7 linked regions of the Macaca fascicularis genome follow. The protein of the gene in region 3 purifies or fractionates together with the protein of the main gene of each other region. This does not show direct contact. Links are inferred from orthologs where the notes say so. Each region holds a gene or a part of one and is shown on either strand. Other genes may lie near its edges. The genes, in order: MAVS, STAU1, EIF2AK2, STAU2, NPM1, DHX30 and ADAR.

Region 1 (4,037 bases), on a different chromosome or scaffold from region 3:
CCACCACTTTGGGAGGCCGAGACGGGCGGATCACGAGGTCAGCAGATCAAGACTATCCTAGCTAACACGGTGAAACCCTGTCTCTACTAAAAATACAAAAAAAGTAGCCGGGCGTGGTGGTGGGCGCCTGTAGTCCCAGCTATTGAGGGGGGGGGGCTGAGGCAGGAGAACCCGGCAGGCGGAGCTTGCAGTGAGCTGAGATCGCGCCACTGCACTCCCGCCTGGGAGACAGAAAGAGACCCCGTCTCGGGGGTGGGGAGGGGGGAAGTATTAGATATGAAGCTGCTAGAGCCCGGTGGGGAGCAGGCAGGCTTGATTCTTGAACTAATCCACATTTATGCCCTCTTGGCTAAACTAGGCAGAGCTGGTTTTATTACAGTTCAGGTGTGATTAAGCATACTTTGTAAATGCTGAAGGTTGTGAAATATTCACAGGGATATAAAGTACAGTAATAAAATCTCACTTGAGGCCGGGCGTGGTGGCGACAGAGGGAGACTCTGTCTCAAAAAAAAAAAAAAAAAAAAAAAAAAAAAAATAGAAGGCCCTGTGCCTGGAAGGCAGTAAGTGCTCAATAAGTGTTGGCCTCTGCCCCAGAAGAGGAAGGGCGAGACAGATGGCAGGAACTGCGGGAGGTACCTGTCCCAGGCCCTTGGGCGTAAGAGGCCTCTCCCACGCAGGACCCAACCCATACCCAGCCTGCCAGCCAGCCAACCTCGGCGTCCCTGCCTTGCAACTACCTGCCCGGCAGTCCCCCGCCCGCTCCCACTCCCACAGGCCCAGCATGCGCGTCTCTAGGCTATGCATCCTTGCCCCTGTGACTTCAGCGTCACCCAACGTTTATTGGGCACTAACTGTATGCCTGGCCATGGGGATGCAGGAGAGAAAGACACGAAGACCCTCACCCATCAAAACTACCGGCGGAAGGAGGGGCTGTTTCACTTGGGAAGCGTGGGGATGGAATTCTCAGCCCCCTGAGGACTTCGAGGCCGGCCGCCTGCCTGGTTTCTGGCCGGACACTGGACTTCCCCTGGAAGTTGCTCGAGACTACGCGCCCTCAGCAGAAAATCAGGTCGGTTCTCGGTGCCCAGCCTAGCGCTTCTCGACCAGCAAACCAAGGCCCAGTGCCCGCCCCCGCCGCGCCGCGGCCTGCGCCGCCAGCCAACCACGCGCGGCCGAGTAGCCCTGCCCCTCCACGTGACCAATAGCCGCGCGCCCTGCCCGCCCCGCCCCCTCGCCGAGGGAGGGGTCTTGGGCCCCGGGCGGCGGTCGCCAGGTCTCAGGGTCGGGGCTACTCGAGGTAAGATCGCTGCCCGGGCGATGGGTCCTCTCGGCTCAGCACGCACGGACGCCTTTAGGGAAGGTGGCTGCAGCGGCAGTACCGAGTCCGCCGGGACGCCCTGGGTCTGGGGCCGCGGGGGCCCAGGAGGGGACAGGGCGCGCGGGGCTCCGGAAGAGTCGGCCCTGTGGCGCACGGGGTTCGGGAACATTGAGGGCTCCAGGCGCCGCATCCAGCATCCAGGGAAAAGGGGGTGGGTCGCGCTGGGCGTCTGCTCCGGCTAGGGGAAAAGTAGGGCTAGAAGGGGACGGGCAGCGGCCGCTGACCTCTTCCTGCCGCCCGCGGGCCCAGGGTGACGCTAAGTTGGGGCGGAGCCTCGACTAGTTGCGCCTTGAGGTCGAGTGCTGCTGCCCTCCCCTGGGTCCGGACAGTTCTTGGCGGCGACACCAGCTCAGAACAGCCTCCCCGCCCTCAGCGGACCTGGGTCTCGCCCAGGAATCCGATCCGAGGCTGTGAGGCCTGTGCCTTTGGTGGGGGTGGGTATTTATTTCCGGGATGCACTCAGAGCCTCTGGACAATCAGGTCGGAAACTTTGCTGCATCGGGAACACTCTGTCACCTCCTTCCTTCTCAGATGGGAAGGAGGTGCCAGGAAAACAATGAAACAAACCAAAAACACGAAAAAGGCATTCTCTGTATGGAAGCCGTGAAGCCTCAAAAATATCTAGGAGGACAGCCAGCGACCTGGGGCCTGTGGCAGCCATGTGAGGGCAGGGTTAATGTTTGTACTAAATGTTGCTTCCTCCCAAGTGCACCCTCAGCCTCCCCTCCACCAAGTGACCTTGGGTCCTCTTTGGGCTTGAAGGCAGGTGACTGTGTGGGTCTCTCTTGCTGCAGGGGTCTCTGTGCCCTGCAAGGTTTATGACTGGCTACAGTGAGGCAGCAGTTTCTGGGTTCAAATCCTGTGCTAGCCTTTGGCCAGCTGTGCACCTTGGCATCACTTTCCCTGTCACGGGATTGGGGAAGGTTTAACTGAAAGAACCTTAGGATGTGCCTGTCTGCAGTGCGCCCTCCATAAATGTGAACAAATGTGGGCTTCCTTTCCTTTTGGTTGGGCCACATCGTCCCTTCTCCTCCATCTGTGGCTTAGGCTGGAATGCAGAAGAGTGCTTCATCTGACTGCCTCCTGGTACCTGGCTGATGCCATGAGAAAGGAAGGAGAAAGGAGTCTTTTTTTTTTTTTTTTTTGAAATGGAGTCTCACTCTCTTGCCCAGGCTGGAGCGCAGCGGCCCAATCTGGGCTCACTGCAACCTCCGCCTCCTGGGTTTAGAGATTCTCATGCCTTAGCTTCCCAAGTAGCAGGGATTACAGGTGTCTGATACCATGCCTGGCTAATTTTTGCATTTTTAGTAGAGACTGGGTTTCACCATGTTGGCCAGGCTGGTCTCAAACTCCTGACCTCAAGTGATCTGCCCGCCTTGGCCTCCCAAAATGCTGGAATTGCAGGCATGAGCCACCATGCCTGGCCGAGAAAGGAGTCTGTTAACTCCCACAGAGTTGTTCTTTGCTTATTTCTTGAAGGCTCAGAGGACCCCCACCTCACCTTCCTGACTCTCCCGACCTGTCATTAGTACTTGCCCCAGGAGGAATGCAGCAGCGCCTGGTGGTTGGCAAAGCAAGTCGTGCATGTGAGGTTCTGAGGCCAGTGACAAGACTGTTTCCCCTGTGAGGAGGGTCTGGTGGCCCAGCAGCTTTTAGATGCTGTCTGCTTGCAGCACTGCCTCCTGAGAGAGGTTTCATGCCTGCCTGATGCCCATTTGGTCCTCTCCTGTCTCCTTCCCTCCCTGACAACCCACTTGGAATCCAATAGCATCTCAAGCTTCACTTGTTCAGACCTGAGTTCTGGAGTTCCTTCTGAGCCACTGCTCCTCCCCTGGCTTCTTTGGCTTGGTAAAAGGGCACCTTCCATCCATCCAGTGCCCAAGGAGTCATCCTTCTTTTCTCTCCCTTATCTCCTACACCCTCAAAACACCAGGAATCTGGCTGCCTCCTTCCATCTCTGTGGTTCCCATCCTGACCATAATCATCCTGTCTCCTGGGCTGTGGCCTCCTGACTGGTCTCCCAGTTTTCATCCTGGCCCCTCCAAAGTCCTCACAACCACCAGAGAAGTCTTTAACGCAAATCAGATCCTCTTCTTTCCCTGCCAGAACCTTCCAGTGGTTCCCTGTTTCACACCAACTAAAACCCAGAGTCCTTTCTTATAGCACTCTACATGAGTGGCCCCTGCCACCTCCTTGACCTTGACAATCTCTGCCCCTTTCCCTAGCTTGCTTGCTTGCTTTTTTTTTTTTGATGGAGTTTTGCTCTTGTCACCCAGGCTGGAGTGCAATGGGCACGATTTCGGCTCACTGCAACCTCTGCCTCCTGGGTTCAAGCAGTTCTCCTGCCTCAGCCTCCTGAGTAGCTGGGATTACAGGCACCCACCACTATGCTAATTTTTGTATTTTTATTTTATTTTTTTTTATTTTTATTTTTATTTATTTATTTATTTATTTATTTTTTGAGACGGAGTCTCGCTCTGTCCCGGGGCTGGAGTGCAGTGGCGCGATCTCGGCTCACTGCAAGTTCCACCTCCTGGGTTCACACCATTCTCCTGCCTCAGCCTCCCGAGTAGCTGGGACTACAGGCGCCCACCACCGCACCTGGCTAATTTTTTGAAGTTTTTAGTAGAGATGGGGTTTCACCGTGTTAGCCAGGATG
Region 2 (3,951 bases), on a different chromosome or scaffold from region 3:
GAGGTTCAAAAGATTCTCCTGCCTCAGCCTCCCAAGTAGCTCTGATTACAGGCGCCCACCACTACACCCGGCTAAATTTTTTTTGTATTTTTAGTAGAGATGGTGTTTCCCCATGTTAGTCAGGCTGGTCTTGAACTCCTGACCTCAGGTGATCCGCCGGCCTCGGCTTCCCAAAGTGCTGGGATTACAGGCGTGAGCCACTGATTCTTTACTGGCCACGCTTCCTCCAACCTCCCATATAATACGGCTGCTAAAACCCACTTAGTTTATCTAGATCTGGGTGAAAGAAATAGCAATCTAGCACTTCTTGTCTTTTTTTTTTTTTTTTTTTTTTTGAGATCAAGTATCACTCTGTCGCCAAGGCTGGAGTGCAGTGGTGCGATCTCGGCTGCAATCTCCGCCTCCCGGGTGCGGTTCTCCTGCCTCAGCCTCCCGAGTAGCTCGGACTACAGGCGCCCACCACCACGCCCGGCTAATTTTTTGTACTTTTAGTAGAGAGGGGGTTTCACCGTGGTAGCCAGGATGGTCTCGATCGCTTGACCTAGTGATCTGCCCGCCTCGGCCTCCCAAAGTGCTGGGATTACAGGCGTGAGCCACCGCATCCGGGCTATTGTCTTTTATCTCACTGTAAAATTTTCTGATTTTATTTATTGTGTGTTTTACTCACACAAGAATGTAAGCTCTACGAGGGCACGGATTTTTTGTCTGTTCACCACTACATTCTTAGCCCTTGGAGCAATGCCTTGCATACAGCAAGCATTTAATAAACATTTACAGATGAAGGAAGAAACAACTGCAGGAAGGAGAGAAAGGAGGGCCAGAGGCAAGACAAGAGGAAAGACCGAGAGAAGGAAGGAAAAAGGAAGTGGAGGAGGAAAGAAGGTAGGCTAGGTTCTCCCAGACACGCTTCAAGTCCAGCAGGCAGCACGAAACTCCCACAACTACAACTCCCGGCAGGCCCCGGGGCCCAGGGCGGCCCGCGGCGGCCCAGGCGGGACAGGGCGCCACTCCCGCTGAGCTCCCGGCGTGCCTTGCGAGCGCAGGCTCCGCCGCAGCGCCCGCCGGAACTTGTAGTCCGGGCCGCTGGTGGGGGTGGGGCCGGGCCTGGAGGCGGGCGGGGGACGGGGGCGGGCGCCTGCCCCTCCCCCGTCACTTCCTGCCGGGCTGCGGGCGCCGGAGCGGCTCTTCAGCGTTTGCGCCGGCGACCGCCGCGTCTCTCTCGGCTCCTGCTTCCTTTGACCGCCCCCCCACCCCCCGGCCCGGCGGCGCCCGCCTCCTCCACGGCCACTCCGCCTCTTCCCTCCCTTCGTCCCTTCTTCCTCTCCCTTTTTCCTTCCTCCTTCTCCTCCTCGCCGCCACCGCCCAGGACCGCCGGCCGGGGGACGAGCTCGGGGCAGCAGCCAGGTGAGGCGACCGGGCCGAGCCGGGCCTGGCGGAGCCCGCGCGGGCGCCGCGGTGGTGGGGAGGTGGGCGGCGGGTGGGGCCTAGGCCTCGGCGGGCCCGCGCGCCCCGCCGCCTTCCCCCGGGCCTATGTAGCCCGCGGGGCCTTCCCGGAGGAGGCGGGTCCTCTTGCGCCCCCCGCCTCCGGGCGCCCTGAGGCCTGGCCTCGGGCGCCCCCATCCCCTCCAGCCCTCGCCGGTGTCACAAACAGGTGCCGCGGCCGCCTTTCCTCGTCCCGCATGGCGCGCGCGGGGATGCCGAAGTTATTCCCGGGGCTGGGGCGCGGGTTGGGGGGTGGACCGCTTCAGGTCCCCTAGGGCTGGAGCCTCTCAGTGTCGCCGGCCCAGGTCTGTAGCTTAGTGGTTAAGAGCACGGCCCAGGTGTCCAAAACGGGTGCCAAACCCGGCTCTGCCCCATTAGGCAAGACACTTAAACTCTTTGTGTCTTGGTTGGAAAGGGGGCTGCTAATACCGTCCCTGCCTCTTAAGACTGTTAGGGTTCAGTGAAATGGGGCGTGTAAAGCGCTTATCAGAGTGCCAGACGCAGAGCGTGTCCCAATAAACCGTCTGCATAATTTATTAGCGTGATATGAAGGTATAATTTAATGGACAGAGTGGATAGAAGTTGACCTACCTATCCGTTTGGGTTTCTTAGAGGCTGCAGTGTTCCGCGTGCCCATGTCCAGAGCCAGGGCATTGTTTTGAGTTCTTAACATCTGAAAGGGGCGTACGCTTAATTGGTACATTGTCGTTTGCAGTCTGTAAACGATGGATGCTATTTCTTTCCATGTCCTCCGCTTAGCCAACTGCAGGATATTCACCATCTCCCGCAGGATGAGCAACCTGTCCATTTCCCCCCGCCCCGCCATCAGCCAGCTTCTTGTTGTCATTCCATTTCTGGGAAAGTTGCTGGCAGAAGCTTCCCTTGAGTTGAGCAAACCTATCTGGAGCACTTGCTGTGTATCAGGCTCTGAAGCGGGGTGTACGAAGATGGAAAAATTTGTCTGTCTGTTCTTTCTCTACACCTCGATAAGTTTTTTTCGCTGAAGCTTTGCTTATATTCCCCCCTCCCTGTTGGCTTTCCTTTTAAGCCCTTGCCCCGCCTCCGTGTTGCAGTATTGCTTGTGTGGAAGTTTTCTCCTGTTCCGCGAAGATACGTGCTTCAGTCTATTCTGCCACTGTTCTTCGGCTGTGTGGACGTTTTTAAGTTCACACTTCTCTTCTGCTTGTAGCTTTCATTGTTAAGAGCGTGGTGGAAAGAGTTCAGTCAGGTTCCTGGTTGATTTTGGCCTTTCAGGAATCCGTGCTTACCAAATGTAAATTACATTGCTACTTGTTGAGGTAAAAACTAAAAATACAGTTGGAGTGTAGAGGGAGCAGTTTCGGTTTTCCTGGTGACAGGTGGGATTTTTAGTACAGCAACTTTATTAAAGCATACTGGGTTTTGAAAAATTCTGTACTTAGTTTTATAGGTGTACTCTAAGGAAATGCAACTTATGGGTGTTCAATTTTATACGAGTAAGGAGTGTGTGTTTACCTCAGTGATCCTCCTGTATCTTAGGATTGTTTTAGGCATTAAATTTCATTAGTGGACTGAAAATATTTTTACTTATACGCTTCTCAACACACATGCGGCAAAGTGGACTCCTTGTTTTTGATATTTTCCTAGAATTTTCTGACAGTCTTACCATTGTTTCTAATTTAAAATATTTGTTTGAATTTTTTTTTTTTTTTTTTTTTTTTTTTTTTTTTTTTGAGATAGCCTCACGCTGTCGCCCAGGCTGGAGTGCAGTGGCACGATCTCGGCTCATTGCAACCTCTGCCGCCTGGGTTCAAGCGATTCTCCTGTCTCAGCCTACCGAGTAGCTGGGATTACAGGCGCCCGCCGCCGCACCGTGTTAATTTTTGTAGTTTTAATAGAGACAGGGTTTTGACATGTTGGCCAGACTGATCTTGAACTCCTAACCTTGTTATCCACCCGCCTCGGCCTCCATAAGCAGGTTAGGCGCGGTGGCTCATGTCTGTAATCCCAGCACTTTGGGAGGCCGAGGCGGGTGGATCACGAAGTCAGGAGACGGAGACCATACTGGCCAACATGGTGAAACCCCGTCGCTACTGAAAATACAAAAAGTAGCCGGATGCGGTGGCGGGCGCCTGCAGTCCCAGCTACTCGTGAGGCCGAGGCAGGAGAATCGCTTGAACCCAGGAGGCGGAGGTTGCCTGTGCGACAGAGCGAGACTGTCTCAAAAAAAAAAAAAAAAAAAAAAAAAAACAACACCAAAAAAACCACGTAAGCAAACAACTATACAAACAGTGTAAAGCATGTCTAATACTGCCATATCACTATGGCATATTGCAATAGGGAAATGGTATTTTAAATACCATTTTAAAAAATCTTTTTATTCTGGAAAATATGTAAAACTCGAATAGTATGGAGAACCCCATGTATTAGTCACTCACTCAGCTTTGACAATTATTAACTCATAGCCAAGGTCGGTTTTGTTTCATGTTG
Region 3 (3,937 bases):
TCAAACAATTCTCCCTGCCTCAGCCTCCGGAGTAGCTGGGATTACGGGTGCCCGCCACCACGCCTGGCTAATTTTTGTGTATTTTAGTAGAGATGGGGTTTTGCCATGTTGGCCACGCTGGTCTTGAACTCCTGACCTTAGGTGATCTGCCCCCCCCTCGGTCTCCCAAATTTCTGGGATTACAGGCATGAGCCACTGCACCGGCCTAGGCATAATATTTAAAGTATATTTGAGGTCTGTCTTGGGACCACCTCCCTCTCTTATCCCAGCTAAGATATTGAGAGTACAGACTCCTGGTTATAGTTCTAACTCCGCTGCTTACTAGTTGTGTTAATCTAACTCCTCTGTGCCTCAATACTCATTAGTCACTGTGCCAATGACTGTGGAACTCTGTGTGACTCTGGGAGTGTGTCACAGTCCATCAGGTGAGTAGAATTTCTATAAATCGAGGACTACTGGTGTTGGACTATAGTAGGAAACTCCCTGGGGTACTGTAGGGAGCAGGTGGCTCTCTTTAACAGCAGGACTGGCCCGCAGGTGCTTTTACAGCGGCTGACAAGTGTCTGCTCATGAGTGAATGGATGGGTGGGAGCAGAGTGAAGGAGATTACGCCCCCAGGCCTCGCATCCCCAGCCTTGTAAAAGTGAGGGGGCAGTGGTGTGGCAAGTGGGGAGGGGCGCTTTGGTGTTTACAGGCCTGGACTTTAACTGAATCCTGGCTTTCCCACTTACGAGCCGCTGGACCCCTAGGTAAGTTCATTTACTCAATTTCCTCTATTGTAAAATGGAGCTGCTAAGACCCATCTTCCCAACCCCTCTCCAAATATTTGTGTTGAGAGTAAGTGGAACCCTTGATTCCAGAACCTAATGCAGCCAAAGCCACCTGCTCCAGGAGCCCCGGGGCGGGGAGGGGGAGGCGGTTGGGGGTGCGGGGTCCTGGCCGCGCAGGGGCTGCACATGGGTGACAAGCCCGCCCGCCAGTGCCGGCCGCCGGCGCCTCTCGCGCGCACTCTGGATCCAGTGCCAATTTACCCCAATCCCGTAGCAGACGAGGGCTTGTGCGAGAGGGGGCCGGGCGGCTGCAGGGAAGGCGGAGTCCGAGGGGAAAACGAAACTGAGAGTCAGCTCTCCCGAAGCTGCGGATCTCTGGCCGGCGGCGGCGGCGGCGGCGCAGGTGAGCGGGGCCGGGGGCAGCCGAGGGAGCGCAGGGAGCAGGGGCCGGGGGGCCACGGGATAGGGGCTGCGGGCCCAGCCGGGGCGGGACCCGCCGATCCTGCGTCCCCAGCTCAGGACGCGGAAGCTGATCCGAAGCCCCTGGCCCCGGCTGGGTCAGCAATGGGAGAGCAGTCCGAGGCCCACAGCCCGGGTGTGGGGCCCTCCCTGAATCCAGGGAAAGGATCGTGGAGCGGGATGGGGACTGAAAGCCATTTTCTTCCCGTGAAGAATTTTTATCAGTGCAAGTAACAAATATTTCCTAGGCAGCGGTTGTGGGGCTGGGTCTAGTGGATGATGAATAGGCCTAGTGGCTTGACATATGGAAAATACGGAGGCCTGAAATACTCATAGACTGGCTGAACAATCTCTGGCTAAAAATCTCTTGCATGGAGAGTTGCAGTAGTTTCCCAATTGCCTGGCCTCGGTTCCTGTTCCCACTCCGTCTCCTTACCCCCGAACCTCCACCCCCTATCTCTTCTACACACCTCAGCAACTGGAATGTTCCTTTAAGTAAGAACCAGACTCTGCCCTGCTCAGACCTTCCCCATAGCTTTCCTGTCTCGTCAGAATCCTATAAACATTTATTAAGGCTCACCGGCAAGGTCCCTTGCACCCCCTACTCCGCCCATGCTAGCTTCCTTGCTGTTCCTGGCGCACAGCCAAGCATCCTCCAGCCTCTAGGCCTTTACACTGGCCTGTTTCTTCTTCCTGGAAAGCTTCTCCCTCAGATACTTGCATGGGGAAACCCCTCCCTTATCCTACACTGCTTCCCATGCCAGCTTATCAGAGCAGACTTCCTCAAACAACCTGCATATGCAAGAAACCCCACTCTGCCCTTGCTGTTCCCCCTTCCACTACCTCAATTTTCAACATAGTAGTTACCACCTGGTGATATCTTTTCTTTTCTTTTTTCTTTTCTTTTCTTTTTTTTTTCTTTCTTTTTCTTTTCTTTTTTTTTTTTGAGACAGATTCTCACTCTGTTGCCAGGCTGGAGTGCAGTGGTGCGATCTTGGCTCACTGCAACCTCCGCCTCCCGGGTTCAAGCGATTCTCTTGCCTCAGCCTCCCGAGTAGCTGGGATTACAGGTGCCCACCACCACAGCCAGCTAATTTTTTAATTTTTAGTAGCAACGGGGTTTCACCATATTGGCCAGGCTGGTCTCAAACTCCTGACCTTGTGATCCCCCACCTCAGCCTCCCAAAATGCTGGGATTATAGGCATGAGGCACTGCGCCCGGCCACCCGGTGACATTTTCTTATGGGTTGTTCCTCCACTGGTAATTTCACAATTACCTATAGCAGGGTTCACTAGTATAGTCCCAGCACCTAGTACATAATAGGTGCTGATTAAATGTTTGCTAAATGAATGGTAATTCAAAAACTCCCTTTTGAATTCCAAAATAATGAGGCGTCCTGTTGCCCATGTTTCCTTCTTTCCTTCCTTCCTTCCCTCCCTCCCTCCTTTCTTTTCTTTTTCCTCTTCTCTTCCTTCCTTGTTTCCTTGTTTCCCTCTCTCTCTCTCCCTTCTTTGTTCTTTTCTTTCTCCTTTCAAGATGGAGTCTCACTCTGTCGCCCAGGCTGGAGTATAGTAGCTTGATCTCGGCTCACTGCAACTTCTGCCTCCAGGGTTCCAGTGATTCTCCTGCCTCAGCCTCCTGAGTAGCTGGGATTACAGGCACACACTACCACACCAAGCTGATTTTTATATTTTTAGTATATTTCATCATGTTGGCCAGGCTGGTCTCGAACTCCTGATGTCAGGTGATCCACCTGCCTCGGCCTCCCAAAGTGCTGGGATTACAGGCATGAGGATTACATGGCCCCATGTTTTCTTTAGTACTAAAAATGCCATGCCAGATGGAAGGTAAAAGACAGGCTCTCTGATGTCACTTGGAAATTTAGAATCTTGGGCAGATTATGCTATTGTTTTTCAGTTTGTTTATTTGAACCTGGAGATCCTGAATACTTGACCTGTAGTTTGTTTGTTTGTTTGTTTGTTTATTTATTTTAGATGGAGTCTTGCTCTGTTGCCCAGGCTGGAGTGCAGTGGTGCAGTCTCAGCTCACTGCAACTCTGCCTCCAGGGTTCAAGTGATTCTCCTACCTCAGCCACCTGGGTAGCTGGGATTACAGGCATGCACCACCATGCCCAGCTAATTTTTGTATTTTTAGTAGAGACGGGGTTTCCCCATGTTGGCCAGGTGACCCACCCACCTCGGCCTCCCAAAGTGCTGGGATTACAGATGTGAGCCACCGCCCCCCACCGTTTATTCATTTATTAATCAGATGCTAGTTGAAGGAATGATCTATGTGAAGCCATGTGCTGGCCCTGGAGGGGACTAAGCCTGCAGGGCGACTATAGTCGCTGGAAGGGAGTGGAGGCATAGCCGAAGTAATGTCTGGGCATTAGTAAGATGGACAAATATCATTTTTTAGTGATTATGATGGAGGTTTCTTCCAGATGAGTGAATAAGATGTAGAATCTGCTCCCCAAATAACTCACTAATTAGTTTAAAAAGCAGTCAGGGCTGTGATGAAGGTTGGGCAAGGTGGAGTGGCAAGCCCATACTAGCTGACCCTCCAGCATCAAAGAAGGCTGTGTTGATCCTGATTGATGAGTGGAGATTGGGAGATTGGTGGGTACAGAGAGAATGCAGATATTGCACTATAAATGTAGAGGAAAGCAGGTGACAAGTCCTGGATGGCGTATCTGGAGATATTTTGG
Region 4 (4,021 bases), on a different chromosome or scaffold from region 3:
GAGCTGAGACTTCATCTCAAAAAAAGAAAAAAAGAAAGAAAGAAAGAAAGAAAAGGATTATACAGTTCTTCTACTGTACGTTTTCTATGTTTAGATACAAATACCTTGTGTTGCAATTGCCTACAGTATTAGCACAGTAACACACTCTACAGGTTTGTAGCCTAGGAGTAACAGCTATATACCATATAGCCAAAGCGAGTAGTTGGCTAGACTACCTAGGTTTGCGTAAGAGCACGCTATGATGTGCACAAAACAACAAAAATCGCTCAATGACACGTTCCTCAGAACATATGCCTGTGGCTAGGTAAGGCATGACTGTATGAGAATGCTGACTAGGTGCGTGAGCCGCTAGAAGGAGCGCTGCAAATTTGGGAAGGATGCAACATGTTCAATACGAGGTAACTGGCAGAGGTGAAAAGGAGGGAAAAAGCATAGGAAAGAGTTCTGGGAGGAAAAATACAGCTGTAGCTAACATTGTACCAGGAGAGGTACTACATGCCCGGCCCTGTTTAAAGGGCTTCATATGTATTGTCACATTTAAATACAAAATATCACATGTAGTCTCCTCTTGAGGTTCAGGATAAGTAACATGCCGGTGATCTCCTCTCCAGTTAGTAAGCGGATATCCAGCCTTGGTTATCTGACTCTGGAGCCCTTGCTCTTAACCAGGACGCACACTATCTTCCCAGGTGTAGACAGGAGATTGGTTTTAGATGATGACTGAAATCACCGTCCTGGGAGACATTTCTCAGAGAAGTGACACCGGGAAGAAACTCTAGAAATAACGTTGCAAATGAATAAGTTTGTGAAAGCACACTAATAGTTCTATTTCGAAATTTCTTTTATTGTCAGATTATTTTTGGTGCCCGTTACTAAACGAAGTGTTCAATTTCGTCGAGCTTAACTGGGTTGAAGTTATCTAGACAAAAGTAATCCACATCAAAACCAGGACGAATCAAGACGTAATTTCTGTTTTCTGGCACTCTTGCCTCATAAATCTAGGATCTAGGGCTTTGTTTTCAATGGTTCTCATTTTTGGCTCCAAGGATTCTTTTGGATGTGACTAATTTTTTCGGTGGAGGAGGAGGTCTGGCCACGCCGCGGGTCTTGGCGAGCAGGTGATTACGGATCCCTGGTGTTTGCTGGATGAGACGGTGAAGCAACCTCCTCCTCGCCCCCTCCCCCGTCTGGAAAGGTGCAGGATCCGCTAAACGGTGTGTCGCACAGCGGCGGCCGGAGCAGACGCGGGATGGTCGCGCGTCCCCTGCACAGCACAGAGGGGCAGCCTGAGAGCCTGGGAAAGGTACGAGCGGGGAATCAGAACACAGGGTGCGGACCAGAAAGAGCAGACGGTCAGTCGGGCGGGGAAGGAAGTTGCCGACTGCAGGTGTGGAAGGGGCTGCCCCAGGCCCACCCCCGGCAGACGAGGGGGCGGGGAGCCGCGCCGGGGACGAGGAGACTGCGGACTGGGCGCGCTCCTAGCGCAGTCGCTCGCCCCCTTGCCCAAGGGCCCCCGGAACGGCCCTCTCTCGGGGGCCCAACTCGCCGCCGCTAGCCCCGCAGAGCTTGCAGCTGGGGGGCCCGGCAGCCGCCAGGGGGCGGGAGCTGCGTCGCGAACAATGGCTGCGCTTGGTCGCGGGCCGGCGAGAGGCGGAGTGGAGATAGAGCCGGTGCCGGGCGCGCGCGCCGGCCGGGCGTGCTGGGGCGCGGGAGCGGCTGCGCAGGCGGGGGCGCGCGGCGCGAGCGCGGGAGGGCGCGGCGGGAGCGCCCGGGAGGCGGGCGGAGGCGGGCGGAGGCGGGGGGCGGGGAGCCCGAGGGGTGGAAGCCGGCGGCGGCCGAGCGGGGTCAGTTCTCTGTACTGTTTGCCAATGTTGGAGCCGTCTGCAAAGTGTTCCTGGCAAGAAGGTAAATACCCTCGTCGGGGGCGCCCGGGAGACCCCGACTTCCGCCCCGCCGGCGGAGGAGGCAGAGGGCGCTGGGGAGCCCTGCAGGTCCGCGGCACGGGGAACCCGGAGAAGAGCGGCCCCCTTCGCGGCCTCCTCTCCCCCGCGCCTTCCCTCCCACCTCGGGCTCTCTCGGGGCAGCAGGGGGGAGGGGAGACCGGCGTGGGAGGGAGGACCGGGAGGCGAAGGATTTGGGGTGGGGGGTGGGGGCGTGTGTGGCGGAGGGGGTGGGACGACACAGGTGTCCTGAGGGGAGGAGCCGGGAGGAACGCGAGGAGGCCGGGCCAAGTCGGGGTGCGGAGGTGGGGGAGGCAGGAACGCGGCTGCGGGCGCGGGAGGCTGGGGTTCTGGGGGGCCGGGGTGGTAGCGGCCGGAAGAGGGGACGGCGAGTGCAGCCACGGTGTGGCTGCGAGGGAGAGGGAGCGCCTGGGGTAGGGCAGGGGAGGGCGGCCTGGGGAGGGTCTGTGGGGAATGGGCCTGGGGGCGCTGGAGGCGGAGCGGCGGGGCCGGGGCGAGCCTGAGGGTGGTGGCGGCGGCTATTTCTGTAGAATGGGCGAGTGGTAAAGACGTAACTTGCCGAAATGGGAGGGTAGGTGGGGCCGAGGGGACAAAATGTATCCTATGACAGGCAAGTTCTGCTGTGGCTCTTACGAACTCCTACCGTGATGGCTCGGCTTAAAGGGGTAGTTGGCGGTAGTGACCTTGCCGGGGTGAAGGGAGTTGGGCGAGGAGACAAAGCTCAGTTACAGAATCCGCTGTGTGAGAGCAGGAACTCCAGTCTCTCCGGGGGCGAGCCGGTGGCTGTGGCCTGGGGGCGGGGGGTGCTCCGCAGAGGCTATGGAGGAGCACGCCACAGTGGGATTCTTAGGGAGGGGTGGGGATAATGGCCGTGGGGATCTGAAAGTCTTTGGAAATGTGTGTAGAATTTTGCATTTGTGAATAATTTTCTTTGGTAAGGGTCCATATTTGCCGTGATGTCCCCCTTCCCCTATCCCCACTACAAAGGGTTAAGAACTGCTTGAGCAGATAGAGAGGGACCATTCAATTAGGGTAGACCTGGGAATTTACCAAAGGATTTTAAAGTGGGTGGATCCTGCAGAAAGAAAGGCTAGAGATGATCTTTTAAAGATATTTTACTGTCAACTGAAAACGTTTATTATTTAATGTTTGATTTCACAATTTTGGTGAACTTTCGCTGAGCATTACTTGGCTTCTGATGCATCCTGTGTTTCAGACCAGCATAGTGAATACTTGAAATAAAATTGGGATGGGCAGGCAGGGTGATAGTAACCTTGGAGGAGAAAAGATTTCAACATTTCTCCAGGATGTTTCTTCCCCGTCCTTGCTTTCTTTAGATGATTCAAGTATACTGTTGTGAACTGAGCTGCGGTGGAAAAATCTTATTTAATAAAACTATCAAAACCAAGACTTACTCTCCATCTCTGTTTTGTAATATGACCAGGTTTTCATTGTTCAGTTTGTATTTTACTGCAAACAAGAGATATCACATATCACTTTAATTGTAGATTGCTGCTTTTTGCAGCAGGCCTGTATTAAATTTGCGAAGCAGTTATGCAAAACTATGTGGTGTGTTTGTGTTTTCCTGCTATGGTTTCAAGTCAAGTTACCATTGTCACATTTCATTATATGGTAGGCTAGTCTGAAATTTACTCCTAAGTGATAATTAGTTGGTAGGATATGGTACGTACTTGCTCACAAATTACTGCATTTTTCCCCGTAAAAACCAGTATTTTGTATTTGTAAGAATGTTGCTGTATAATCCAAGTACATATTGTTAATTTCAAATAGAATGCTGTGTAATTATTAAATTTTAACTTTATTTGGAAGTAATTTTAAGCTTACAGAAAAATTGCAAGAATAAGAATAATAATACAAAGAATATCTTTGTAACCTTTATTCAGATTCACCTGTTAACATTTTATGCATTTATTACTGCTCTCTATCACACACAAAATGTTTTTCCCCTGGACCATTTAAGAGTAAGTTACATACATTGTGGTCCTTAACTCCTAAATACTTGAGCTTGGAAAACCATGTAAATTTTACATTTTAGCTTA
Region 5 (3,500 bases), on a different chromosome or scaffold from region 3:
GTAGCTGGGATTACAGGCATGTGCCACCATGCCTGGCTAATTTTTGTGTTTTTAGTAGAGACGGGGTTTTACCATGTTGTCCAGGCTGGTCTCAAACTCCTGACCTCATGATCTACCTCAGCCTCCCTAAGTGCCGTGGGATTACAGGCATGAGCCACCACCGCCCTTTCCTATGCTTACATGCACAAATACTTACTATTGTATTTCAGATGCTTACAGTATTCAGTACAGTAACATACTGTACAGGTTTGTAGCCTAGGTGTGTGTAGTAGGCTATACCATCTAGGTTTGTTAGTATAAGCACATTCTTATGATTGTACCAAGATGAAATTGTCTAACAACACATTTCTCAGAACCTAGCCCTGTGGTTAAGTGACGCATGGCTGCATATAACATTTAGTGGTGGGGGGGTGTAAAATAGGTGGAACTCAAAGTTGAAGTGGTATTTTTTTTTTGTTCACAGGTCAGTTTAGGGGCTGGTGCAAAGGATGAATTGCACATTGTTGAAGCAGAGGCAATGAATTACGAAGGCAGTCCAATTAAAGTAACACTGGCAACTTTGAAAATGTCTGTACAGCCAACGGTAAGGGCACTTGTATACTTTGGATGTTGTGTCAAGGTTTAATTCTGTTTTAAGGTAGGTTTGGTGTCATTTCGTTGTGCCAAAGAGATAGAAAGTGGTTCTTTATCTTCTGTCACTGGAGTTCAATGGTCAGCTCTTGAACATGGGGGTTTCTGCTGCTAGTTTATCAGAGGTGGAAGAAAGGTTCACTGGTTTGTGGTTTTTGTTTTTTTTTTTTTGAGATGGAGTCTCGCTGTGTTGCCCGGGCTGGAGTGCAGTGGCCGGATCTCAGCTCACTGCAAGCTCCGCCTCCTGGGTTTTTACGCCATTCTCCTGCCTCAGCCTCCCGAGTAGCTGGGACTACAGGTGCCCGCCACCTCGCCCAGCTAGTTTTTTGTATTTTTAGTAGAGACGGGGTTTCACCGTGTTAGCCACGGTGGTCTCGATCTCCTGACCTCGTGATCCGCCAGTCTCGGCCTCCCAAAGTGCTGGGATTACAGGCTTGAGCCACTGCGCCCGACCAGGTTCACTGGTTTGTTGATTTGGCTTATGTGTTTGCTTGTAATGTTTATTGTACATTTTCTTCATATGTTTAGTGATTAAAAATTTCTTCCTTCTAGGTTTCCCTTGGGGGCTTTGAAATAACACCACCAGTGGTCTTAAGGTTGAAGTGTGGTTCAGGGCCAGTGCATATTAGTGGACAGCACTTAGTAGGTATGTTATTTTTATGTATTATACTACTTAGTTTATTCTCTTTAATGCAGTTGCTTGGTTCCCAGTTTGGACTTAAAGCATGGGTATAGTACTACTGTCTTTAAAATAGATTCCAGTGTGAGTCTAGAAATTTATAATTGGAGAGGACAAATAAATTTTTGGAGTGGGGGGACAAAATCTTGATCTGTCACCCAGGGTAGAGTACAGTGGCACGATCTTGGCTCACTGGAACCTCTCCCTCCGGGATTCAAGGGATCCTCCTGTCTCAGCCTCCCCAGTAGCTGGGACCACAGGCGTGTGCCACCAAGCCTAGTTGTGTTTTATAGTTTTAGTAGAGAAGGGGTTTCGTGAAGTTGGCCAGCCTGATCTTAAATTCCTGGCCTTAACGTGTTCTGCACGCCCTGGCCTCTCAAAGTGCTAGTACTACATGCGTCAGCCACTGTGCCTGGCCTAAAATTTTTTTTTAATAAAGACAGTCTCATTCTAAGGCTGGAGTGCAGTGATCGTAGCTTGTTACAGCCTTGAACTACTGGGTTCACATCAGCCTCTGGACTAGCTAGAACTACAGGCACACTCCACCACGCCTGGCTAATTTTTTTTGTATATGTGCAGATGGAGTCTCACTGTGTTGCCCAGATTGGTCTCTTGGCTTCAAGTGGTCCACCTTGGCCTCCCCAAAGTGAGATTACAGGCATGAGCCACCCTGCTCAGGCTTCTTGCATTTAAAACCTGGCAGTGAACGTTAGGCCTCAGAATACCTTTGTTAAAAAGTTCCTTTTCCCATTTGCTCTTTTTTTAAAAAAATAGAATAGAAATCTCAGTTTTTAGAATATTTACTGTATGCTATCAGTGTTCTTTTTTTTTCTGATTTCTTTGCTGCTTGAGTTTTATAATGTCTAATAAATTGTATCTTAGCTGTGGAGGAAGATGCAGAGTCAGAAGATGAAGAGGAGGAGGATGTGAAACTCTTAAGTATATCTGGAAAGCGGTCTGCCCCTGGAGGTGGTAGCAAGGTTCCACAGGTAGAGATGGCAATTTTATTATAGGTTTTGTATTACAGATTTTAGTTTGGTGATAGAACAGCTCTTGTTCATGAGTATGTGCCTTTTCTTTTAAAAGAAAAAAGTAAAACTTGCTGCTGATGAAGATGATGATGATGATGATGAAGATGATGATGATGAAGAGTAAGTATGATCTTAGAAATTTGATACCCTTCTGAAATCTTAACAGATAAAAAGGAATTTGACATTGTTATATGCATGAGGATTTTATAAAAGTCATTTATGAAAAGCCATCCTGTGTAATAGTTTATAATAAAAGGGCAAGTGGTCATCTGTTGTCAGTTTAAGTTAAATGAGCTGAATTGAAAGGATATTGGGTCATGAGCCTTTACAGTGCTGTGACTCGTGACTCTTCAGAAGGGTAGGCTATAGCATTTGCAAAGTTTGATTATGTCCCTTTGTTTTAAAGATTTAGTGGATGTTATACCCATCAAGCCTGGTATGTATTATGGTGAAGTTAATTAGATTGGGTTGAAAGAAAATCTGACTAAAGGCCGGGCGCGGTGGCTCAAGCCTGTAATCCCAGCACTTTGGGAGGCCGAGACGGGCGGATCACGAGGTCAGGAGATCGAGACCATCCTGGCTAACACGGTGAAACCCCGTCTCTACTAAAAATACAAAAAAAATTAGCCGGGCGAGGTGGCGGGCGCCTGTACTCCCAGCTACTCGGGAGGCTGAGGCAGGAGAATGGCGTGAACCCGGGAGGCGGGGCTTGCAGTGAGCTGAGATCCGGCCACTGCACTCCAGCCTGGGCGACAGAGCGAGACTCCGTCTCAAAAAAAAAAAAAAAAAGAAAAGAAAATCTGACTAAATAGCTCTATATTCATTTTACAAATTGTTACTGAAGGTTTGTTATTCCCCAAAAGGATTTTGGCTTGTGCTTTTATGTAGATACTTAATGGACAAAAATAAGATCCTAAAAGGGATATTAAGATTTTTCTTGGGATTTAAAATATGATTGGAAACATTAATTTTTTTTTTATATTAAACTGGATCAAACTTGGTATAAACAGTTACATGCACACTGGTATAAAGTACTGTTTATAATTGGTCTTATGTGTGCAAGTATCAGTAATACATTAAATACTTGGCTCTCAGCTTTGTTCTTCAGTTCTGAGATTGGTCCATATGCATTTATGGAAAACACATTAAATAAAATATAA
Region 6 (3,500 bases), on a different chromosome or scaffold from region 3:
CCCACCATGCCCCCTACTTCCTGGCGGCAGCTGAATCCGGAGAGCATTCGGCCAGGGGGACCTGGGGGCCTATCCCGCTCTTTGGGCCGGGAAGAAGAAGAGGATGAGGAGGAAGAGCTAGAAGAAGGGACCATAGATGTTACCGACTTCTTGTCCATGACCCAGCAGGATTCCCACACCCCACTCAGGGACTCAAGGTACAGATTGGGGATGGGGATGCAGCGGAGGCTGGCTGTGCCTTGACACAGGGATGGGCGAATGTTCTCTGCTAGCTTTCTCTGAGATGGGAGTGCCCTGCCTCACATTGCAGCCTGTGTGTCCCGTCACTCAGTGTGTGTCTGCCCATTCTTGGGGGACAGCCAGCTGTGGTCTTCTATGTGGCTGGGCTTTTGCAGAACAGCAGCACGGAGAACCTGCTCTCTGCTGTCTTATCTATGTGAGGGAATGGAGGGCGCAGTCCCCATCCAGTGTGGCTGTGGGAGGAGCAGAGATGCCCGGTTTCCCATCCATTTCATGCCTCCTGGCCTTTTGGCTCCCTGCTGCAGTGCAGTGTCCTCACCCTTACATCTCAGAGCCTCAGGGAAATTGGTCCAGGAAGAGAAGATTCTTTCAGCTAAACTTTTGGTCCTCCCAGGGGGAGTTCCTTTGAGATGACAGATGATGACAGTGCTATCAGGGCTCTGACCCAGTTTCCACTTCCCAAGAACCTTCTGGCCAAGGTGATTCAGATTGCAACATCATCCTCCACAGCTAAGGTGAGTTGGGTCTCCTAGAAGTGTGTGTGGGGGCCATTTACTTGGTCATGTCTGGTGTTCCCCAAAGGCAGGTTTACAGAGGGCTGAGGGGGCCTGTTCCTCCAGCCCACACCTCGGCCAGCTGGTGGAACTCCGGCGTGGAAGGAAAAGCAGTCAGTGTGACAGAATGGAGGTCAAGTCTTAGCAGCACAGGGCGTGGGCTGGGGGCCGCAGGAGCAGAAGACCCATACCTGTTCTGGGCGGTGGATTGTCAGTGGGGAGGGCTTAGAGGTGTGGGTCTTGGTGAGGTATGAGTTTCTCTCTTGCTACCAGGCAAAGGGGCTTCGGTTAGGCAGAGCTTCTGTCCGGGTGCAGGGCCTTTTTGCTCCCGCAGGATGTGCCTGGTTTTTAGCTCATGCTGACAGCTTCAACCCACAGCTGCCACGAAGGTGCTGAGATGACTGAGCTAGGAGGGCAGGTGGTGGAATTGCCCAAGCACTGTCTTCCGCAGTGGAAGTCGAGGTATAGCAGGAGAAGCGAGCCTGGGACTAGAGTGCCCGAGCCCATGGGCCTGCTCCTGGCTATGCAGCAGCACCTCTAGCATGGCTCATGCCGGGCATCTGCTGAGATGGTGGCTCCTTCCGTCTCTGGGCTCCTTGGCATTCTGAGAATGCCCCAAGTCTCTTCCCATTCCCTGCATTTCTGTAACCATCTCTCTTGCCTTCCATGTAGAATCTCATGCAGTTCCATACTGTGGGCACCAAGACCAAGCTGTCTACACTCACCCTGCTCTGGCCCTGCCCCATGACCTTTGTTGCCAAAGGGCGCCGCAAAGCAGAGGCTGAGAATAAGGCGGCAGCCTTGGCCTGCAAGAAACTGAAGGTGAGTCCAGGAAGGTCCTGGGTGTGATGCATGAGAATGTCTTGAAGCTCCCCTCTGCCAGTGGCAAATGGGTCCCATTTTTTAGGAAATGAAACCACCACAGCAGGCCTTTTGCCTGGCACAAAGACAGCTGGTCTGCAGGCCTTGCTTGTAGGCCCTGTGGCTGTTGCCACAGCTTTCCCAGAGCCCCTGTGGAGATGCTTTGACTGTGCCCCAGCCTTTTCCACACTGTTGGCCTGAACCTGGTGAGGCCGGGAGGAAACTTGCTCATTGTTCTGAATAGTATAAAGCCAGGAGGAGCCGGGCCTGTTTTGAGAGGCAGACCTGGTGTCCAGTATGATCCTGATAACCCGGGTTTTGTGGCCAAAATGAATAATGTGACTTGTGACTGCAGTGAAGATTGAGGAAGCAGTCAGCATCAAGGTAGAGACAGTGTGGCAGACAGCTGGCAGTTCTCTTTTGACACAGGGTCTCTGTGGCCCAGGCTGGAATGTAGTGGCACGATCATGGCTCACTGCAGCCTTGACCTCCTAGGCTTGAGCGATCCTTTCACCTTAGCGTCCTGCATAGCTGGGACCATAGGTATGCGCCACCACTCCCAGCTAATTTTTAAACATTTTTTGTAGAGACAAGGGTCTCACTGTGTTGCCAAGGCTGGTCTTAAAATCTTGGGCTCAATCAATCTTTCTGCCTTCACTTCCTGAAGTGTTGGGATTGCAGGCATGAGCCACAGCTCCTGGCCATGGCAGTTCTCTTTAAAGGGGCTGTGGAGTTAGCTGATGGCACAGTAGTGGGAGGGCGTTGGGATTGTGTCTGACTGCCTGAGGAGTTAGTAATCTCAACCCATGTTGGTGGAGGTTTAGTTTGCAGAACAAGACAGAAATGGGCCTGCTTTACTCTGAATGGTCAGGTGCACCATTTCATGGGTGCAGTTGGCCCCGGGAACCACGTTTTAGTTATAGCTGATGGTCAGGGGTAACAAGAACCTGGAGAAAATGAGGAAGAGGGGACAGGCAGGTGGTGAGATAGAAGGCATAGATCTGCTACCTGTGACTCGAGGGCAGAACAAGGACTGACTGTAGAACTGGAGGCATCTGAGCTTTGGCCTGACGCACACGCACTGAGCAGAGGCACCTTGGTATGGTGGGGCCTGTCTGGGAAGGAACAAGCTTTGCAGTGGCTGGAGGGCCATTTGTCAGGCTGGTGGGTAAAACCCATGAAGTCTGGGGAGAGGGCGGAAGCCTGTTCTTGCAGCAAGGAGCTTGTGTTGGCACCTCCTGTGGAACGAGGACCAGATTCCTGTCCTTGAGGTCCTTACAGCTGATGGTGCCAGCGTGCCCAGAGGCAGGGGGTTGGCCCCTGTTGTGGAAAGACTTATTTAAGGAGGAAGTGTTTGATCTGGGCTCCGAAGGGCGAGCAGAGTCCAGACATTAGAGGTGACAGGAACACAAGACTAGTTTTACCCACGTGCCTGAGGTATTGGAATGCCATGTTTTATCTCTGGCGAGGTGGCTTTAGGTATGTAAGGAGGTAAGACACAGTGTTTTCCTTGCAGTGGCTTGTTTGATCAAGTTGCATTATAATCAACATTTATAGGAAACTCCACGTGTATCTATATGATGGGGTTACAGATGGGTCAGGTGCCATGTAGGGACTAGGAGGTGGGATGGAAGAATGATTGAGGGAGGAAGGCTTTGATGAGGCAGCAAAGGAAGAGGGAGTCTGTGGGGTGTATTCTAGCGTCATTGAGGGCCTGGTCTGGCTGGTCCGAGGGTACACGTTGGGAATTCACGGAGGTGACAGGGGCCTATTGTGGTGTTGGAGGGGCTCTAGTCGCACAGTGAGTGGTTTCTCCTCAGGGCCTTCCCCAGACGTAGGGCTGTT
Region 7 (3,500 bases), on a different chromosome or scaffold from region 3:
CACGTCAGCAGTCATCATGGTGGTCCTGAAACCCTGCTAAATACCCTAAAGTATAGACACAGTTACATGGAGCCAGTGCTCCACTCCTAGGTGGATGCTCCAGAGAGATGGAGACCTGTGTCCACGCGGAAACTAATATGTGAATGTTCATGGCAGCGTTACTCACAAGAGCCAAAAAAGTGGAAACAACCCAGATGTCCATCAGCTAATGGATTCATAAATAAAACATCAAGTATATCCATAAATTGAGTATTATTTGGCCATAAAAAGAAGTGAAGTGCTGATACATGCTTACGATATGGATGCACTTGAAAACTTGATGCCAAATGAAAAAAGCCAGTCACAAAAGATCCCATATTGTATGATTCCATTTATATGAAATGTCCAGAATAGACAAATCCATAGAGACAGAAAGTAGATTAGTGGTTGCCAGGGCCAGGAGTGGGAGGGTTGGAGAGATGAGAAGTGACTGCTCCAATGGGTAGAAGGTTTCTTTTTGGAGCGATGAAATGTTCTAAAATTGACTGTGGTGACAGTTGCAGAAGTCTGTGAATATACTAAAAACGACTGAATTGTATGCTTTAAATGGGTGAACTGTATGGCATGTGAACTATATTTCAGTAAAGCTGTTGTTTTTTTTTTAAACCCTATGGTGGTTTCCCACTGCACTGCATATACAAGCAAAACCTGCTGTGATCACCCGGCCTCCTCTCATGCCACTTTCCCCATTCCTCACATATGCTGTGTCCACACTGGCTCTCTGTCTGCCCCCTAAACAGCCAATCCGCTGGCTACCTTGGGCCCGTTGCTTTTGTCCTGTGTGCCTGAAACACTCTTACTCCAGCTGTCCTTCTCCTCCATGTCTGGGTTCCCCTGCTGCTGCTGTCCCAGGAGGTTCCCCCTGTGGTCCTCCGTCATAGCTCCCTCAAAGCCTTCAGAGCACTATCAGCATGTGGAATTCTGTATGTACTGGCTACTGGTTTAGTGTCTGTTCTCTCCCCTTTCAATCTCCTCACCACTGTAGATGTTTTAGGAGGACAAGCATCTTACTTGGTTTTGCTAACCAAGTTCTTTCCCAGCACCAAGCATAGTGCCTGGCACATAGCAGATGCTGTGAAATATGTGAAGAATGAATGAATGTTGCCTGTGGCTCAAGCTTAAGGAGGATAAAAACCACGCCAGGGAGTGGTTTGGTCCACTGGCCCCTGTAAGTCTGACCCAAGTCTCTCACATAGGAGAAGGCACAATCCCTGTGGAATCCAGTGACATTGTACCTACGTGGGATGGCATTCGGCTCGGGGAGAGACTCCGTACCATGTCCTGTAGTGACAAAATCCTACGCTGGAATGTGCTGGGCCTGCAAGGGGCACTGTTGACCCACTTCCTGCAGCCCATTTATCTCAAATCTGTTACATTGGGTAAGAGGCCTGCCTTGGGATCTGGAACTGGTCTGTCGTCCTTGTGCCCAAATCCCAAACGGCATGTTTTGTTGCCAGGTGTTTTGTCTCCCCTGTCAAAGTGAGCATGAGTCACCCCTCAGTTACTGGTTGTCCAGTCTGCTGTGCTAGGGAGATCCTGGGTAGCCCCGGTCAGAAGGTGCTTCCTAACAAGGCAGCTGTTTCTCTTTCTTGACAACTGCATTTTGTACCTCCAGAATCCCCACATGCCCCTGCCTCTTAACAGCATTTGGTGCAAACACAGGTATATATGTTTCTCTTTTTTGTACACAGGTTACCTTTTCAGCCAAGGGCATCTGACCCGGGCTATTTGCTGTCGTGTGACAAGAGATGGGAGTGCATTTGAGGATGGACTACGACATCCCTTTATTGTCAACCACCCCAAGGTGCTATAACCCCCCTTCTGTTTTCCCTGACATTTTTCTCCTTTTCAAGCAGTCACATAAATAGAGGAAAATTGTACAATATGAGCAAGGGGAGCATTGCCCGCAGTGGTAGCCCACATTGGAACATTACCCCCAGGGGAACACTGCCCGCAGTGGTAGCCCACAAGGGAACATTGCCCACAGTGGCCCACCACCAACATTTGTTGGTGTCCCAAGAACTTTAACTGTCTTCCTTTTGGATGCCAAGGGCTTTCCTTCTCTTAGTCTGGAATTAATCTGAATCGAGGTGGAGTTAGTATGTCTAGAGTGTGCTCTGTCTTAGCCAAACAGAACCCTAAATACAGGAGAAAGATCATGACTCTGCATTTCCTCTTTGCTGTAAGTCTTGAGTCCCTGCTTCAGAATCTTATTCCTGAAAGGTTTCCATCTTTCTCCCATTGCTTCTGGGATTCCTAGGTTGGCAGAGTCAGTGTATATGATTCCAAAAGGCAATCTGGGAAGACTAAGGAGACAAGCGTCAACTGGTGTCTGGCTGATGGCTATGACCTGGAGATCCTGGATGGTACCAGAGGCACCGTGGATGGGTAAGGAGACAGGAGAGCGCAGTGAGGACCAAGCCTCTGCCCTGACTTGCAAGGGTGCATCATACCTCTGCAGTCTCAGGGCTTGAGAGCCACCTTCCCTGCCACGGTTTCTCCACTGTGAGCTCCTCATCTTACAGGTCCCAGGTGAATAATGAGTGCTTTTGTTTCTCTAGGCCACGGAATGAATTGTCCCGGGTCTCCAAAAAGAACATTTTTCTTCTATTTAAGAAGCTCTGCTCCTTCCGTTACCGCAGGGATCTACTGAGACTCTCCTATGGTGAGGCCAAGAAAGCTGCCCGTGACTACGAGACGGCCAAGAACTACTTCAAAAAAAGCTTGAAGGATATGGGCTATGGGAACTGGATTAGCAAACCCCAGGAGGAAAAGAACTTTTATCTCTGCCCAGTATAGTATGCTCCGGTGACAGATGGATTAGGGTGTGTCATACTAGGGTGAGAGAGAGGTAGGTCGTAGCGTTCCTCATCACATGGTCAGGGGATTTTTTTTTCCTCCTTTTTTTTCTTTTTAAGCCATAATTGGTGATACTGAAAACTTTGGGTTCCCATTTATCCTGCTTTCTTTGGGATTGCTAGGCAAGGTCTGGCCAGGCCCCCCTTTTTTTCCCCCAAGTGAAGAGGTAGAAACCTAAGAAGTTATCTTTTCTTTCTATAACTCAAAGCATACATAGTCACTGAGCACCTGCAGTCCATTTCCTCTTAAAAGTTTTTTTTTTTTTTCCATTTCCTTTCCCTTTGTGTTTGCTACACTGACCTCTCGTGGTCTTGATTAGGTTTCAGTCAATTCTGGATCATGTCCGAGACTGATGATTTCTTTTGTGGATTACGCAGACCCCTCTACTTCCCCCTTCCCCTTCTGAGGTTCTTTCCTTGTGATCAGAATTTCTCCTTTTCTCCCTCAGAGGGTAAAAAGGTGAACTTAAAGGATCTGGTGAAACATTTGTAAGGGTAGGAGTTGAAAACTGCAGTTCCCAGTGCCACGGAAGTGTGATTGGAGCCTACAGATAATGCCCTGCCATCCTCCCATCCTGCACTTTAGCCAGCTGCAGGGCGGGC

The links.
Region 1: the proteins of EIF2AK2 (region 3) and MAVS purify together in Homo sapiens (affinity purification with western blotting; 3 studies listed by BioGRID and IntAct, with this or other methods). This does not show direct contact. The link is inferred for Macaca fascicularis from reciprocal best matches to the Homo sapiens genes EIF2AK2 and MAVS.
Region 2: the proteins of EIF2AK2 (region 3) and STAU1 purify together in Homo sapiens (affinity purification with mass spectrometry; 4 studies listed by BioGRID and IntAct, with this or other methods). This does not show direct contact. The link is inferred for Macaca fascicularis from reciprocal best matches to the Homo sapiens genes EIF2AK2 and STAU1.
Region 4: the proteins of EIF2AK2 (region 3) and STAU2 purify together in Homo sapiens (affinity purification with mass spectrometry; 3 studies listed by BioGRID and IntAct, with this or other methods). This does not show direct contact. The link is inferred for Macaca fascicularis from reciprocal best matches to the Homo sapiens genes EIF2AK2 and STAU2.
Region 5: the proteins of EIF2AK2 (region 3) and NPM1 purify together in Homo sapiens (affinity purification with western blotting; 3 studies listed by BioGRID and IntAct, with this or other methods). This does not show direct contact. The link is inferred for Macaca fascicularis from reciprocal best matches to the Homo sapiens genes EIF2AK2 and NPM1.
Region 6: the proteins of EIF2AK2 (region 3) and DHX30 purify together in Homo sapiens (affinity purification with mass spectrometry; 3 studies listed by BioGRID and IntAct, with this or other methods). This does not show direct contact. The link is inferred for Macaca fascicularis from reciprocal best matches to the Homo sapiens genes EIF2AK2 and DHX30.
Region 7: the proteins of EIF2AK2 (region 3) and ADAR purify together in Homo sapiens (affinity purification with mass spectrometry; 3 studies listed by BioGRID and IntAct, with this or other methods). This does not show direct contact. The link is inferred for Macaca fascicularis from reciprocal best matches to the Homo sapiens genes EIF2AK2 and ADAR.

The regions. Positions count from the first base shown.
Region 1 is NC_088384.1:83,440,129-83,444,165, reverse strand, and holds the start of MAVS (mitochondrial antiviral-signaling protein), read left to right. Parts: upstream 1-1,237; 5' UTR 1,238-1,297; intron 1,298-4,037.
Region 2 is NC_088384.1:105,253,024-105,256,974, reverse strand, and holds the start of STAU1 (double-stranded RNA-binding protein Staufen homolog 1), read left to right. Parts: upstream 1-1,151; 5' UTR 1,152-1,404; intron 1,405-3,951. UniProt on the Homo sapiens protein: Binds double-stranded RNA (regardless of the sequence) and tubulin.
Region 3 is NC_088387.1:85,022,749-85,026,685, forward strand, and holds the start of EIF2AK2 (interferon-induced, double-stranded RNA-activated protein kinase), read left to right. Parts: upstream 1-1,137; 5' UTR 1,138-1,173; intron 1,174-3,937.
Region 4 is NC_088382.1:83,572,816-83,576,836, reverse strand, and holds the start of STAU2 (double-stranded RNA-binding protein Staufen homolog 2), read left to right. Parts: upstream 1-1,221; 5' UTR 1,222-1,249; coding exon of another isoform or gene 1,250-1,303; intron 1,304-1,722; exon of another isoform or gene 1,723-1,905; intron 1,906-4,021. UniProt on the Homo sapiens protein: RNA-binding protein required for the microtubule-dependent transport of neuronal RNA from the cell body to the dendrite.
Region 5 is NC_088380.1:178,186,693-178,190,192, forward strand, and holds part of NPM1 (nucleophosmin), read left to right. Parts: intron 1-463; coding exon 464-583; intron 584-1,182; coding exon 1,183-1,276; intron 1,277-2,191; coding exon 2,192-2,298; intron 2,299-2,395; coding exon 2,396-2,460; intron 2,461-3,500. UniProt on the Homo sapiens protein: Involved in diverse cellular processes such as ribosome biogenesis, centrosome duplication, protein chaperoning, histone assembly, cell proliferation, and regulation of tumor suppressors p53/TP53 and ARF.
Region 6 is NC_088376.1:110,779,241-110,782,740, forward strand, and holds part of DHX30 (ATP-dependent RNA helicase DHX30), read left to right. Parts: coding exon 1-197; intron 198-634; coding exon 635-755; intron 756-1,466; coding exon 1,467-1,616; intron 1,617-3,500.
Region 7 is NC_088375.1:106,558,151-106,561,650, forward strand, and holds part of ADAR (double-stranded RNA-specific adenosine deaminase), read left to right. Parts: intron 1-1,235; coding exon 1,236-1,418; intron 1,419-1,730; coding exon 1,731-1,843; intron 1,844-2,299; coding exon 2,300-2,427; intron 2,428-2,600; coding exon 2,601-2,838; 3' UTR 2,839-3,500. UniProt on the Homo sapiens protein: Catalyzes the hydrolytic deamination of adenosine to inosine in double-stranded RNA (dsRNA) referred to as A-to-I RNA editing.